3 linked regions of the Arabidopsis thaliana genome follow. The protein of the gene in region 3 interacts with the protein of the main gene of each other region in a pairwise test. Each region holds a gene or a part of one and is shown on either strand. Other genes may lie near its edges.

Region 1 (4,791 bases), on a different chromosome or scaffold from region 3:
AATATCAAAATAATGAGAAACAAGAACTTAATTAGGAAGGACAAAACAAGGTTTGCTACAAATGCATTTGCGGGTGAATCCTTTGCAACGACCGTCAGTGAAACCTTCGCTAATGCATACTTGGCGACAATTCCTCCATTTCAGACACATACCCTTCCAGTCCAAGCTCTTTGCTTCACACATTTGTTGTCCTTCAACCATCTCTATATCTATAATATAATACATTATCATTATTCAATAAATAATTGAATAATAATATAATTATAATCATATAAACAATCAATAATTGACTTATTCTTCAATATCATCAAATATTAAATTATTCAAGTAGATGCGTAAAACCCCATGCATTAAATATTAAAATATAAGCGTATATTATATGTTTTAGTAACTTTTTAATATTGTGAGTTTGTGAGAAACTAGATTTGCATACCTGGTGAAGCAAGAAGAATGGTTAAGAAGAAAAGTGTTGGAATTAACTGCATAGAGGTAGTAGAGCTCTTCATTTTATTTCCTACTAACTAGTTAAGCGATATGAATACGTGGGGAGAATTGTTGATATTGAAAATTAGCGTGAGAATGTCGCATTTATAGTAAACATGTGCACAAAGCTTTTTTGGTATATCAACGTATGCATACGATAATGAAGAACAATAGGAATATGTGGAAAAGAATCTGATCTTGACGAAAAATATCTGCAAATACACATACGAGAATATTTTGTTGTTTATATATATCTCTAGTACTGTACTGTACTGGTTAAAGATATATGCTAATGATTTTTTCTTTCTTTAACCACTATGAATAGACAATCTACCATAAGAGAAGAGATTGAATCAACATAGTTAAAGTGGGCCGAGGGGACTGATACAATGAACGTATAGACTATAGAGTGTTAAGAAAATTACAAAGTGGTAGTAATATCATAGATGAATTTAGACTAATGTGAAGCTAGACAGATATGCAAAAAACCATTCCTCCATAAGTTCTTCCAAAAAAAATTCCTTTATAATGATATATTTGTAGTTTAGATTTTGGTGTGTTTTGACTTTTGAGTTTATATCTTTATCCAATAAAACAAAGTTACGTACAAAATTGATCAAAGCCAGTCACACAGCCTAAAATTAACTTTAGATTACATTATCACTAACTTGCTTAGATAGGAAACCATCGTTTTAATCAATCAATCATAAATTTGGTTATCTATAAAGTTTTAACATAATATCAATATACAGAGAAATAAAAAATTTAGTACAAATGTTTGGAGTTTGGTTGTTACATAATTCGCAGATTGTAAAATTTAATAGTTTATTACATTAAACAATGATGTAAGCACAGTTAATAAATTATTATTCTAATGACATATCCGATCCAGATGCAATCTGAATTTCACTCGGACCAGTAAATTTACCAATTGAGGTCGGTTTGATTGCCTATAACCGGTAACCGGCGAGACCGACAGATATCATCAGAAAAGACGAAAGAGTTTCATGTTTTTTTTTTTTTTGTTTAGGCTTTTAGCCAAACTCTCTCTAGTCTCTCTCTCTCTCTCTACTTGAGAGTGCCGTCTCCATTTTCTCAACGTAGTCGTTTATTTTGAACAAAGACTCTCTCCGTTTACCAAAGGTCATCTCTTTTCTTCCTCCTTCTCTCACTTTTGATTATATTTTCTGACTTCCTCCTCCTTTCTCAGAAATTCTCTTTCGATCTTCTCTACAGTGTTGTTAACGATGAGGAGGTGCTTCTCCAAAATTACTGATTGCCACTTGGGTTTCAAGAATTCCAACTTCTTATTGGTAAATTTCCCAACTTTACTAATTCTCACTTCTCTGCTACAATGGGTTTCGATTTCTCCCACTCAAGTTGGTTGCTTTTTCGAATTGATTTATTCCTGTAGCTACTAGTATTTGCTTATATAGTGTAAAGGTTAGGGATTTAAGAGCTGAATGAATTCATTTTGTGTTCTTTTATTTAGAGAATCAATGCTTATTTGGAATTCTTAAACAGGTTGGTTCTGAAGTTGGTTCAGGTTCAGTAACGAGAACCATTACTACTACTACTAGTGAGCGTTTATTTAGCAGTAGTTATGCAGCTCATCAAGTTGATCAGATAAAAGACAATCCTGTCTCTGACATGTTGATTGATAAATTTGGTCGCTTACATACCTACTTGAGGATATCTTTGACTGAGCGGTGTAATCTCCGGTGTCAGTATTGTATGCCGTCTGAAGGTGTGGAACTTACTCCTAAGCCTCAGTTGTTGTCACAGTCTGAGATTGTTAGGTTGGCTGGTCTTTTTGTTTCTGCTGGTGTTAACAAGATTCGGTTGACTGGTGGCGAGCCTACGGTTAGGAAAGATATCGAAGAGATTTGTCTGCAGTTGTCTAGTTTAAAAGGGTTGAAGAATTTGGCTATTACTACCAACGGTATCACTCTTGCGAAAAAACTACCAAGGCTTAAGGAATGCGGACTTGATTCGCTGAATATCAGCTTGGATACTCTGGTTCCAGCAAAGTTTGAGTTTCTGACTAGACGTAAAGGGCATGATAGGGTTATGAAATCGATTGATACTGCTATTGAGCTTGGATACAATCCTGTGAAAGTATGTTTATTAATCCTTCTTCATGTTTTCTGTTTGAATGTAGCAGAACGATATTTGATGTTCAAGAGTTTTTGCAAATCGTTCTTGGTTTTGACAGGTCAATTGTGTTATCATGAGGGGATTGAATGATGATGAGATTTGTGATTTTGTTGAGTTGACACGCGACAAGCCAATCAATGTCCGGTTCATCGAGTTTATGCCATTTGATGGAAATGTTTGGAATGTGAAGAAACTTGTACCTTATGCAGAAGTGATGGATAAAGTGGTAAGGTAGAATTCTCTCAATGTTTAGCCTTTTTTGAGATTACTCAACTTTTCCTTGAGCATTTTCATGATTGGTTTCAGTTGTTATGGTAACAGGTCAAGAGGTTTCCGAGCATAAAACGAATGCAAGATCACCCAACTGAAACAGCTAAGAACTTTACGATCGATGGGCATTGCGGTTCTGTTTCTTTCATCACATCCATGACAGAACACTTCTGTGCTGGCTGCAATAGATTGAGACTTCTTGCAGATGGGAACTTCAAAGTTTGCTTGTTTGGTCCTTCAGAGGTAAAGTACATTTCCAAATTTTTCCATGGCTAAAAGTCAGTAACTGTTGATTCAAGTGGCTGCGAACATGTACAAGTGTGCAATAACTTGAGTACCGGTAAACATGAGTATTCGTGGTTGCTTCTCAATAATGTGACGATCATTTTGTTTCGCCCGATGATTTCTTGTGAACAGGTTAGTCTGAGAGATCCTCTCCGGTCTGGTGCTGATGATGAGGCGCTAAGGGAAATTATAGGCGCTGCTGTAAGTATTTAGTTGCTTCATCTGATTTTACGAACCAGTCAAGAAATCTTTCCTCTGTTTTTCGTTTCTGTATTGACTTAAAATTCACAATGGGTTTCAGGTGAAGAGAAAGAAAGCTGCACACGCTGGAATGCTTGACATTGCTAAAACAGCTAATAGACCAATGATACACATTGGTGGCTAAGCTCCGGTGAACGTAAGTTCTTTAATCCATTGTTATGTAACTCATAAAAATTGGATACTTTGTGTCGATTCAAGGGTTTTGACACTTGATCTCAGTAACAAAGTCTTTGATGCATTGATCCGTTTAGTGTAACTCTGCGTTTTGATTCACGTGACTCATCGCGTCATATTTCTCTTTACAGGTTGGTGAAGTTCCTGGAAAACACTACAAGGAACATTTGAGTTTTATATCTTGTAAGAATCTATCTGCTGCTCCCAACTCTGTGAGACTGTGACAAACTTTTTTGCAAACAAGAACAAGAAGACTGAAGAGTTTCTCAAACTGTTTCTTCTCTGTATACGTAACAGACACTGTACAGGAACTCAGAATTTCCACACGAATCTTTTCAGTCCAATTACTTTTCTTATTTATGGCCAAAAAGATCAACTATAAGCTTTTATTATGTTAAGAATTTTAAAATCTTAAATTTGATAACAACAACAAATTCACTTGCGATATTGATCAAAGCTTATTGTATAATAGAGTTTTGAGATACATGACTTGTACTCTGCTGTTTTATTAGCTTACATAAAAATAGGTATCTTATTAATGGCTTATTCATAACAATATAATGTCTAGTTTTCGGTAGAAAGAAGAGCACAAGGCTTCCTGCAAACACATTTGTTGTTGAAGAATCCTTTGCATCGACCATCAGGGAAACCTTCGCTAATACATACTCGCTTGCAACTCCTCCATTTCAAGCACAACCCCCTGTAGTTTAAGCTTTTCGTTTCGCACAATTGTGGTTGTCCTTCAACAACCATCTTCATACCTATAAGATCATGGCATTTTATTATTCAATAAGAAATCAAATTTATAACCATAAATATAATCAAGAATGACCAAAGCTTTTTGTTTGTTGATAACTTATAACCAACCAATATCTTTTTATTGCTCCTAACTCCTAATATGTGTTTATGTAAATATGTGATTTTCAATATTCTATGGCAAAGTATGAGATAAGTTGTAGTGTTGTTTTTTCATTATCATAATAGTTTGAACTAAATAGTGTATGCATAAAAACAAATGTTAAACTAAACAAGGGAAATAAAGTATAAGTTTATAACGTATAGTTTAGTAGATTTGTTTAGGATTTGTATACCTGGTGCGACAACAAGTATGACTAGGAAGAAGAGTGTAGAGATTAACTGCATAGAGCTCTTCATTTTGAT
Region 2 (4,500 bases), on a different chromosome or scaffold from region 3:
TTATAAATTGTACTAAATTTAAGAAAAAGGGTTGTTTGTATATTTGTTTTTGCCTTAATACACTAATTTGCATTTTGATATTTTAAATTTGTTGTAAAATTTATTACAATAATCTAGTAAAGTTAAATTATCAATATGTTATTAGATCAATGTTAGAATCATTTTACAATATTCATATTGTAAGATTTGCATTTCAATATTTTAAATTATTGTAAGATTGTATATATATACACTTATTTATAGCCTATAGACATTTATTATTTCTTATTCATAATTGTAAACTAAATTATTAGTGTTAATTTTTATTTTGCCACAATTAATGTTAGATCTAAAGTTTAAAATCCAAGATTATATCATATTGTACATTTGTTTATTTACTTTTCATTATTCTAAAGTAGATTAATAGTGTTAAATCTCTCTTTTGCCACAATTAATGTTAAATATAAATTTAAGACTCCAAGATTAGATCATTAATTTCTTTATATATTGATATAAAAATCTAAACTAAGAATTATCATCGTACGAAAAGAATGGAGGGTGACAAACATAATAATTCTAAGACAATTTTTTCAATGCATAAAAAATAATCCTACGACAATGATTATATCAGAGGATATAGTTGAAGAGATATTTCAATATCTTCCAATAAAATCACTAGCTAGATTCAAAGTCTTGTAAAAAAATGGAGATCAATGATCAAATCAACCTACTTTTCCCACAAATGACTCGTTCGTACAGGTTTACCAACCCCTAATATGAAATATCTTCATGTTAGTCAACACTTTTCAGCGAATTTTGTTGAAGAAGATTCAACTCAATAACTTTTCTTTTGGAGACTTTTTCTAGAGATGACCATAACAACGGAAAAAACTGTCATTCTTCTTCTTGTTACTACACTTTTCCTGATGATCCAATCGACAAATGTCAAAATAAAACCATTCAAGTATTGGGATCTTGTGATGGATTGGTCTTGATTCAGATCCATGACGATTTTAGGCACATTTACTTGATCAATCCTTCGACTAAAGAACACATGAAACTTTCCAAAGTGGTGCGTCGTTGGTACGCACCTTGGTTACTTTCTTAGATTACATGACCGTGCATACATGATATTTGTTATTATTAGTTAAACTTATACATATCAACTTGATTACTTTTTTTAGCTTTGTAGTATCCGAAAAAACTTTTCATGCATGCTCCGTTAGACCTTTCGATCTGCGGTAATTTCCGTAACGTTCGCGTAGCCAGGTTGCAAATTAAATCGCAACCTCAGTATCTTGAAGGCAAATCAAACCTTGGATGGGTTTAGAAACATTTCAAAGTGGTGTTTCGTTGGTACACATCTCTTGTTGACCGGAAGACAAGAACAATGCTTCCTCCTCTTGACAAACAGAATGAAACAACGTTTCGGGTTTGTTTTGGTAGATTGGTAAAACATTGGTGACGAACAACACTCGAGGCTTTTTCATTGATCAACTCAAGTAAATTTCTCTGAATTCTACGGAGCAAATAAATGATGCACATTGCTTTGAGACGCATAGCCATTTCGCCAAGACTTTTAGAGGCATCGGTAACAGAATCTTCATTTGTAGATCATAAGGAAGTGTTTCAAAGCTTGAATTCTCCATTCTTGTTTTTTTGTTTGTTATGATATTTTGTGTTTTGAGACATAGAGACCTACTAAACACACATGTGATATTTATAAGAGATTCTCAAAAATTGGTTTGTTACCAACGTTGTGACTTGTTGAGTCGTAAAACGTGTACATGCATCTCTGATTTATATTTCCAAAAGAGAAATATTAGTTCCTCACATTAAAACTTACCATAATTATTGGCCAATTAAGATTCTTTATTTTCTACTTTCTCTCGTTTAAATTTATCTTTTAACACAAAAATAAAATAAAAATCATTAAGAATTAAAAATTCCAAAAAAAAATAGAAATAATCAATGCACCACAAGCACTCCAATTAAACGCAGGCGTTTTGATCATCACCGGAGGAGGTCAATTTCTGATTTCTTCCGGCGAGAAAACAAACGAAAGAGTGAAAAAAAGGCGACTTTTTTCTTGTCCCGGGTTATAAAGATGTCAGCTTTGTGTCCTGTCTGCAATCTCACGCTTCCTCTCTCCCTAATCCAAAGGTATCAATCCCTAATTTCAGCTTTGTGTCCCTTATTTCTATATGCTTCTTAGTTGCATTCTCTCGAGGTCTTGATGTGTTTGTCTGGTTATGGTGGATGGTTTGACTCAGCCATGTGAATTCCCACTTCGAAGACGATGAAATCAATCCACAAATCGAAACCGATCACCACTTGGCTCTGCAACTCGCTTCTGATGATCATTCTTCTGATGATCCTTCTTCGTCTTCCTCTGCTTCATCATCTGTAATACTTTCTTAAAACCCTTAAATCTTCTTTCCACTCCTGTGTTAGGTTCAGAAAAGAAAACCCAATTGATAAAACATTGTTTCATTTCTGCAGAACAACGTTGCCTCCTTGGTCCAGTTACAGACTAAGAGTCAATTCTATAGTGTAGGTCATGGTGGTTTGATTTGTTTGCTGAGGAACTGTCTGGAGTCAGAACTGAAATTGAAGTCGAAACCTTTAGAGTGTAGTACTAGTTTACTATCAGGCTTTGTTGATCATTTTCAATCTTCGAAGGAGGATAAAGGTTGGGGATGTGGATGGAAGAACATTCAAATGCAATGCTCTCATTTGCTTTCTCATAGAGAAGAAGCTAAGAGAGTTCTCTTTGGTGGTTCTAATTTTGTTCCTGATATTCCTTCGCTCCAGCGATGGCTTGAGTTAGCTTGGAACAAGGGGTTTGATGTTTCTGGAGCTCTTCATTTTGATAATCGAATATGTGGTTCCAAGAGATGGATTGGAACTACTGAATGTGCTGCGTTGTTACGTTCTTTCGGGTTGAAAGCGAGGATTGTTGATTTTGCTCCCGAGAAGTCTAAATCGATGTATCTTTCAGTTCCTGGTTCTGCTATTGCACCCAAGGTAAAGTCATATGGTCCCATGGACAGATATATGGTTAAAAAGGGGGGAAGTGGGAAGGGAAAAGCAGTTGACTCTCATAGTTCTAATTCTTCTAGGATCAGCAAAGGAGCGGTTTTAATGGAATGGGTTTGGAATTACTTCTCAGATAACAGGTTAAGTGTTTCATCCGGTGTTCATATTACGAATAAAGGGTAGGTTGTTTTGTTTCAGTTCTTGATCTCTGAAATGTCTTTTGTAACTTCAAAACACATTACGTCTAAGGTTCCTGAGTTGATGTTATCGTGTGTACTGCAGGCCCTTGTATTTCCAACATGAAGGGCACTCGAGGACAATTGTTGGGGTTCAGAGACGGTTGCAAGGAACTACATTTACTCCTCAGTACAATCTCCTAATTTTGGACCCGGCTGATGTGAGTATACATGAACATCAGCTTTTACTAAAGTTGAATGTGATTAATGATTGTGAGACTTGAATGTGAATGCAGTTTACTAGAGCTATAGAGATAGCGCTTATAGAGAAGAGAGGATGGGAGGGATATCTTAAAAGAGGAGCTCACACACTGAAATGCCCCGAGTATCAGGTCTCAGCTTTGAACTCTGATATCAATCATTTCTTTGTTATTTTGCATAAAGCTAAGTGATTTTGTCTGAGTGTGATTTGGGGAATATTGTGATGATATATACATACAGATGCTGTACGTTGATAATGGAATTGCTGATGGAGAGGAGTTGGAGAAGCTCAAAACCATTGATAGTCACTTTGTTGAATTCTAATGACTTCCATCAAAAATTGAAGAATGGTTCTTGAAGATTCTTAGATTAATTGCAATTTTTCAGGACTAGGAGTTAGACTACTATGACTTTCCAAGTTTCAACGAACGTATAAGATGTGGCTATTTATTAGAAACATTGAGAAAATACAGAATTTTAACCAGAGATAAGCATCTTTATCACCACACCTAAAAATAGAAATGTCTTTCCAAAAGCACTTAAAACTAGAGAGAACGAGTCATAAAGTAAAAAAAAAAAAAAAGAAGCTATAGAGCTTTTTTTCAATTCCTCCAAGTTTGGTGATCCCTTCTTCCTTCCTCTGGCAACAAAACCTTTTTCATGTGTGCCTCAAATGAACAACAAAACCTCACTGTTGTTCTTCCATGGACTCTGAAAATTGTGACATTTTAGAGGTTTTGTTGGTTATTTAAGAGGCAGATGCAGCCACCTTCTTCCTCACTATCCTTTTTCGCCGAGCCTTTGGAGGTGGAGAATCTGAAACTGAATCTTCTTGCTTCTTCCCGAGTAGCCCTGAGACAATTGCATTCTTTGAGATGAACCATTTTGAAGATGGCTTTGCTACTGCTTCCTCTGAGGGTCGGTTGTATGCTTTTGCCAGCAGATCATCTGACTGCGCCAGTGGGTCTGCCTCTACACCTAGCCATACTTGTCTTGACTTTTCCCCTAATTGCACATTCATAATCCTGTACCACATACATCCATC
Region 3 (4,011 bases):
TCATATTCTCTCGATTCCCAGTACATTCGTGGCTTTGTTAGGACCAGTGATAATGATTAGTCGATTTTGATTGTTTCAAAAGATCATCAAATTGGAATCTTTTGTTAGTTTGACTTGAGTAATAGAGATTTCGATTGAGAATTTGTATAAAGTTTGCTCTTTTGGTTCATATAGACTGAGCCCAATAGTCCTCCATAAATGGTTTTAGGTACTTTCATCAGTAGCTTCTCGGAACTCACTCCAAAAAATTTGATCTTTTCGTTTCGTGTGTACTGTTGTAGTGTTGAAACAAGTGATATGGTTAGTTGTGTGCAAAGATAAGTTTGAGCTTGGTCTCAGGGAAGGTTTGTGTTAATATGGGATTCCTAACAATACCAGTTGTTTAAGATAGGGAAAGTTTGGTCATTTGATTTTGATTTTGGGATAAGTGTATCTGAAGTTGCTTTAGAGGCGTGGAAGTAAGTAAACCATTGATGATTCGGAGAGTTTATCAAGATGCCTTTAGTTTTTCTTAGATGAATCAGATCCTAGGGGAGAGAGTTCTCTTAATGGTGTTAAGCTGTTAGATCACAGCTATAGGCCTACTATAGCTGATTCAGAATTTCAGTATCACTTACTGTGAATTGGTTTGACATCTTACTTATAGCTGGTATAGTGTTCATTGTCTTTGAGGAGTCTTTATACTTATCCATCGAATGGGCATTGTCATTAGCGCAACTTGGTAGAATATTTAGATAAGAGTGAAGGTTACTACTTTCTTAGCCGGAGAAGTTTATGTAAGGCAACAAGGAATTTTCTTTTAACAGTGTTTGATAAACATCTTGAGCTTTGTTCTTCTGGACTGCCTGTGTTTGCATTGTGATCTGACTATTAAAGCGGTTACTGGATTGCAGGAGGATTTACGGAATAATATGATATCAGTTGTCAAGGAGTCAACATCTTTGAAACGACATGGTGCTCAAAATATGAAAACCAGGCAACTCTCTGATGCGATATTCGAAGAAGTCGGGTAAATTAAGAGGGATTTTCTTCTATTCAGCTAACTCCTGTTGTTGTAAATGATTATGACACAAGCGTACTAAATTTTTTGGATTGTTTCCTGTAGGAGCAAGATGCTAAGCCAGCTCTCAGATGGTTTATGGGGGATAATAAGATCAGAAGACGGGATGAAGAATGAAATCAGAGAAACCGTTCAATCCGTCTACGCCACATTATCTAACCCGAGAGGCGAGAAACGCGGAACATCCGCTAGAGAAATGGAACATAAGATTCCAACACCAAAAAAAGAAGCAAGAACTGATTTCAACACCAGTCCAGCGAGTAAACAGAAGCAAGAGCTGATTAAAGGAGCTGTAGAAGATAACAAAGGAGAGGCATGTAGTGATGATGTACAAGATAACAAAGGAGAAGCATATAATGATGATGAAGAAGATCCTGAACTCCCTCCTGGCTTTGGCTAAAACTGTTTTTTGTATCATCAATAAACTCCCTCTGAAATATTATTGCGTTTAAGGTAATAACACCAACTGTTTGTAATAACAACAGAATTACTGCACATTAATTTACCAAAGTAATAGTGATCCCCAGATTAACCGATTTATTTTTTAATTAAAAATGATAAAATTTAAAGGTTGTTGAAAGGTCAGAAATAAAAAGCCGCAAAAACTGAAGAAGCAAGATAATGGCATCAATTCTCAGGTCAGTGGCAACGACTTCAGCCGTCGTAGCCGCCGCCTCTGCGATTCCCATCGCGATCGCCTTCTCTTCTTCTTCTTCTTCTTCCTCTACCAACCCCAAATCTCAATCTCTCAATTTCTCCTTCCTCTCCCGATCGTCTCCACGTCTCTTGGGACTTTCACGAAGCTTCGTTAGCTCTCCGATGGCGACTGCTCTCACTTCTGATCGTAATCTCCATCAGGTTTTGGTTTAAAGCTTTGAACTTTTGAAATACCCTATTTCCAATTTGAGCTTTTTCGCTTTCCTGATTCGATGATTAAGTATTTAAGTAGCTGAATTTGATTTGCAGGAGGATCGAGCCATGCCTCAGCTTCTTGTAAGTCTTTCTCGTAATCCTGTATCTTTATACAACAATTTTTGGATTTGAGCTAGTGAGAACTTGTGTTGTGTGTTCCAGACTGAGTTTATGGTGGATATGACATGTGAGGGTTGTGTTAATGCTGTGAAGAACAAATTAGAAACCATTGAAGGTAGTAGGAGAAACAACTTTATTAATCGTCGTCTGTTTGGTTATGATTTACTTTGTTGGTGCTTATTATGTGTAATGGAAATTTTTAATCTTGTAAGGTATTGAGAAAGTGGAGGTGGATTTGTCCAATCAAGTTGTGAGGATACTTGGATCTTCCCCTGTTAAGGCTATGACTCAAGCTTTGGAGCAAACTGGTCGAAAAGCTCGCTTAATTGGACAAGGTGTTCCTCAAGGTTAGATATCTCTTCTCGGGTCACTTTGGTTTTTGTTTGAGAAGAAAGATTTGAACATCAAAAGAAAGAAGATATATTTTCTCAGCTCATAGAACATGTAAGGAGTACATGGCTTGTGTTTATGTTTAGTTCAACATTAAGAAGATTTACGTACTGGCAATTTTCCATTCTTGAGCTACTCTTTAATACACTGACAGTATTGAATTTGAGGATTTACCGTTTCAATTCCACGGTTTGTCTTTCATTGATGACCTCTTTCCTCATTTGTTTTATGATATTTACTTTGTGATGTGTTTTGGCAGATTTCTTAGTCTCAGCTGCAGTAGCAGAATTCAAAGGCCCTGACATTTTCGGGGTAGTCCGATTTGCTCAGGTCAGTATGGAACTTGCAAGAATCGAAGCCAACTTTACCGGTTTGTCACCCGGAACCCACAGCTGGTGTATCAACGAGTATGGAGATCTCACAAACGGAGCAGCCAGCACAGGGAGCTTGTACAATCCATTTCAAGATCAAACTGGCACAGAGGTTGGTGAAACGCATTCTTAGAAAACGAAAATGTCATCACAATCCTCTAAAAACTCTCTTTTTCTTCTGTCAGCCATTGGGAGACCTGGGAACACTAGAGGCAGACAAAAACGGAGAGGCCTTTTATTCGGGAAAGAAAGAGAAACTCAAGGTTGCAGACCTTATCGGGAGAGCCGTCGTGGTGTACAAGACCGATGATAATAAGTCAGGCCCCGGATTGACCGCCGCAGTGATTGCTAGAAGCGCAGGGGTTGGAGAAAACTACAAAAAACTTTGTTCTTGTGATGGTACTGTCATATGGGAAGCTACAAACAGCGATTTCGTGGCCAGTAAGGTTTAATAACAAGTCAACAACCATACATTTTATAAAACGTTACGTTTTTTAGTGATTGAGAACTTGTTTTGTATCAAAACTTGAGGTTTATATTGAAACAACACAAGCTTTTTGTTTTGTACCAAAACTCTCTGTACTTTCAATTGCGTAACTAATGTTGAGCCCCTATCAGAATTTGATCACTATACTATATATTGTGTGTATCTAATCAATGTTCAACAGGTTTCGTGGTGTAGTTGGTTATCACGTCAGTCTAACACACTGAAGGTCTCCGGTTCGAACCCGGGCGAAGCCATTTTGCTTTTGTAATAGTATAGACCAAATGTTTTAGATAATGTTTCGTTGTCACGCGGGCCCTATCAGCAACTAGCTTTAGTTTCACTGTTTTTGGCCCACTAAAATTGGGTCGCACATGGAAACAAATGGTTCCTACAATATTGTGCCCTACATAATTTATTCTGGTAAACGTAAGAAGTATTTAAATCATATAGAATTTTGAATTCCAAGAACATGTGAAATGTTATGTGCTGCTATAAACTACTCTCAAATAATAAAATCTCACATTGTCAGAGATGAATTATTATATACTATGTTTTTTTCTTACATTAAAAATTGATTGCTTTGTAGTATTAAACTAAATAGTAATGGTTAGACAGAACATCAAACTTCAAACATTTTGGTGTAATTTCTGTTGTCTGGTTTTTTTATTAGG

What was found.
Region 1: the proteins of CCS (region 3) and CNX2 interact in a two-hybrid assay, tested with the Arabidopsis thaliana proteins (one large-scale study listed by BioGRID).
Region 2: the proteins of CCS (region 3) and AT5G24680 interact in a two-hybrid assay, tested with the Arabidopsis thaliana proteins (one large-scale study listed by BioGRID).

What each region holds. Positions count from the first base shown.
Region 1 is NC_003071.7:13,583,424-13,588,214, reverse strand, and holds CNX2 (cofactor of nitrate reductase and xanthine dehydrogenase 2), read left to right. Parts: upstream 1-1,511; 5' UTR 1,512-1,730; coding exon 1,731-1,796; intron 1,797-2,007; coding exon 2,008-2,601; intron 2,602-2,698; coding exon 2,699-2,866; intron 2,867-2,961; coding exon 2,962-3,153; coding exon of another isoform or gene 3,154-3,186; exon of another isoform or gene 3,187-3,327; coding exon 3,328-3,396; intron 3,397-3,496; coding exon 3,497-3,580; 3' UTR 3,581-3,592; intron 3,593-3,761; 3' UTR 3,762-4,194; downstream 4,195-4,791. Other genes in the region: LCR75 (low-molecular-weight cysteine-rich 75), read right to left, coding at 28-209, 434-506; LCR76 (low-molecular-weight cysteine-rich 76), read right to left, coding at 4,195-4,391, 4,722-4,785. UniProt on the Arabidopsis thaliana protein: Catalyzes the cyclization of GTP to (8S)-3',8-cyclo-7,8-dihydroguanosine 5'-triphosphate.
Region 2 is NC_003076.8:8,451,580-8,456,079, forward strand, and holds AT5G24680 (Peptidase C78, ubiquitin fold modifier-specific peptidase 1/ 2), read left to right. Parts: upstream 1-1,995; 5' UTR 1,996-2,086; coding exon 2,087-2,142; intron 2,143-2,252; coding exon 2,253-2,385; intron 2,386-2,481; coding exon 2,482-3,197; intron 3,198-3,300; coding exon 3,301-3,415; intron 3,416-3,490; coding exon 3,491-3,586; intron 3,587-3,695; coding exon 3,696-3,779; 3' UTR 3,780-3,939; downstream 3,940-4,500. Other genes in the region: AT5G24690 (plant/protein, putative (DUF3411)), read right to left, coding at 4,204-4,480.
Region 3 is NC_003070.9:4,266,571-4,270,581, reverse strand, and holds CCS (copper chaperone for SOD1), read left to right. Parts: upstream 1-1,599; 5' UTR 1,600-1,681; coding exon 1,682-1,918; intron 1,919-2,026; coding exon 2,027-2,053; exon of another isoform or gene 2,054-2,134; coding exon 2,135-2,207; exon of another isoform or gene 2,208-2,304; coding exon 2,305-2,439; intron 2,440-2,741; coding exon 2,742-2,965; intron 2,966-3,038; coding exon 3,039-3,305; 3' UTR 3,306-3,508; downstream 3,509-4,011. Other genes in the region: AT1G12530 (uncharacterized protein), read left to right, coding at 894-1,009, 1,106-1,460. UniProt on the Arabidopsis thaliana protein: Copper chaperone for the superoxide dismutases CSD1, CSD2 and CSD3. Binds copper ions and delivers them specifically to CSDs. Is required for assistance in CSDs disulfide bond formation and thereby activation of CSDs.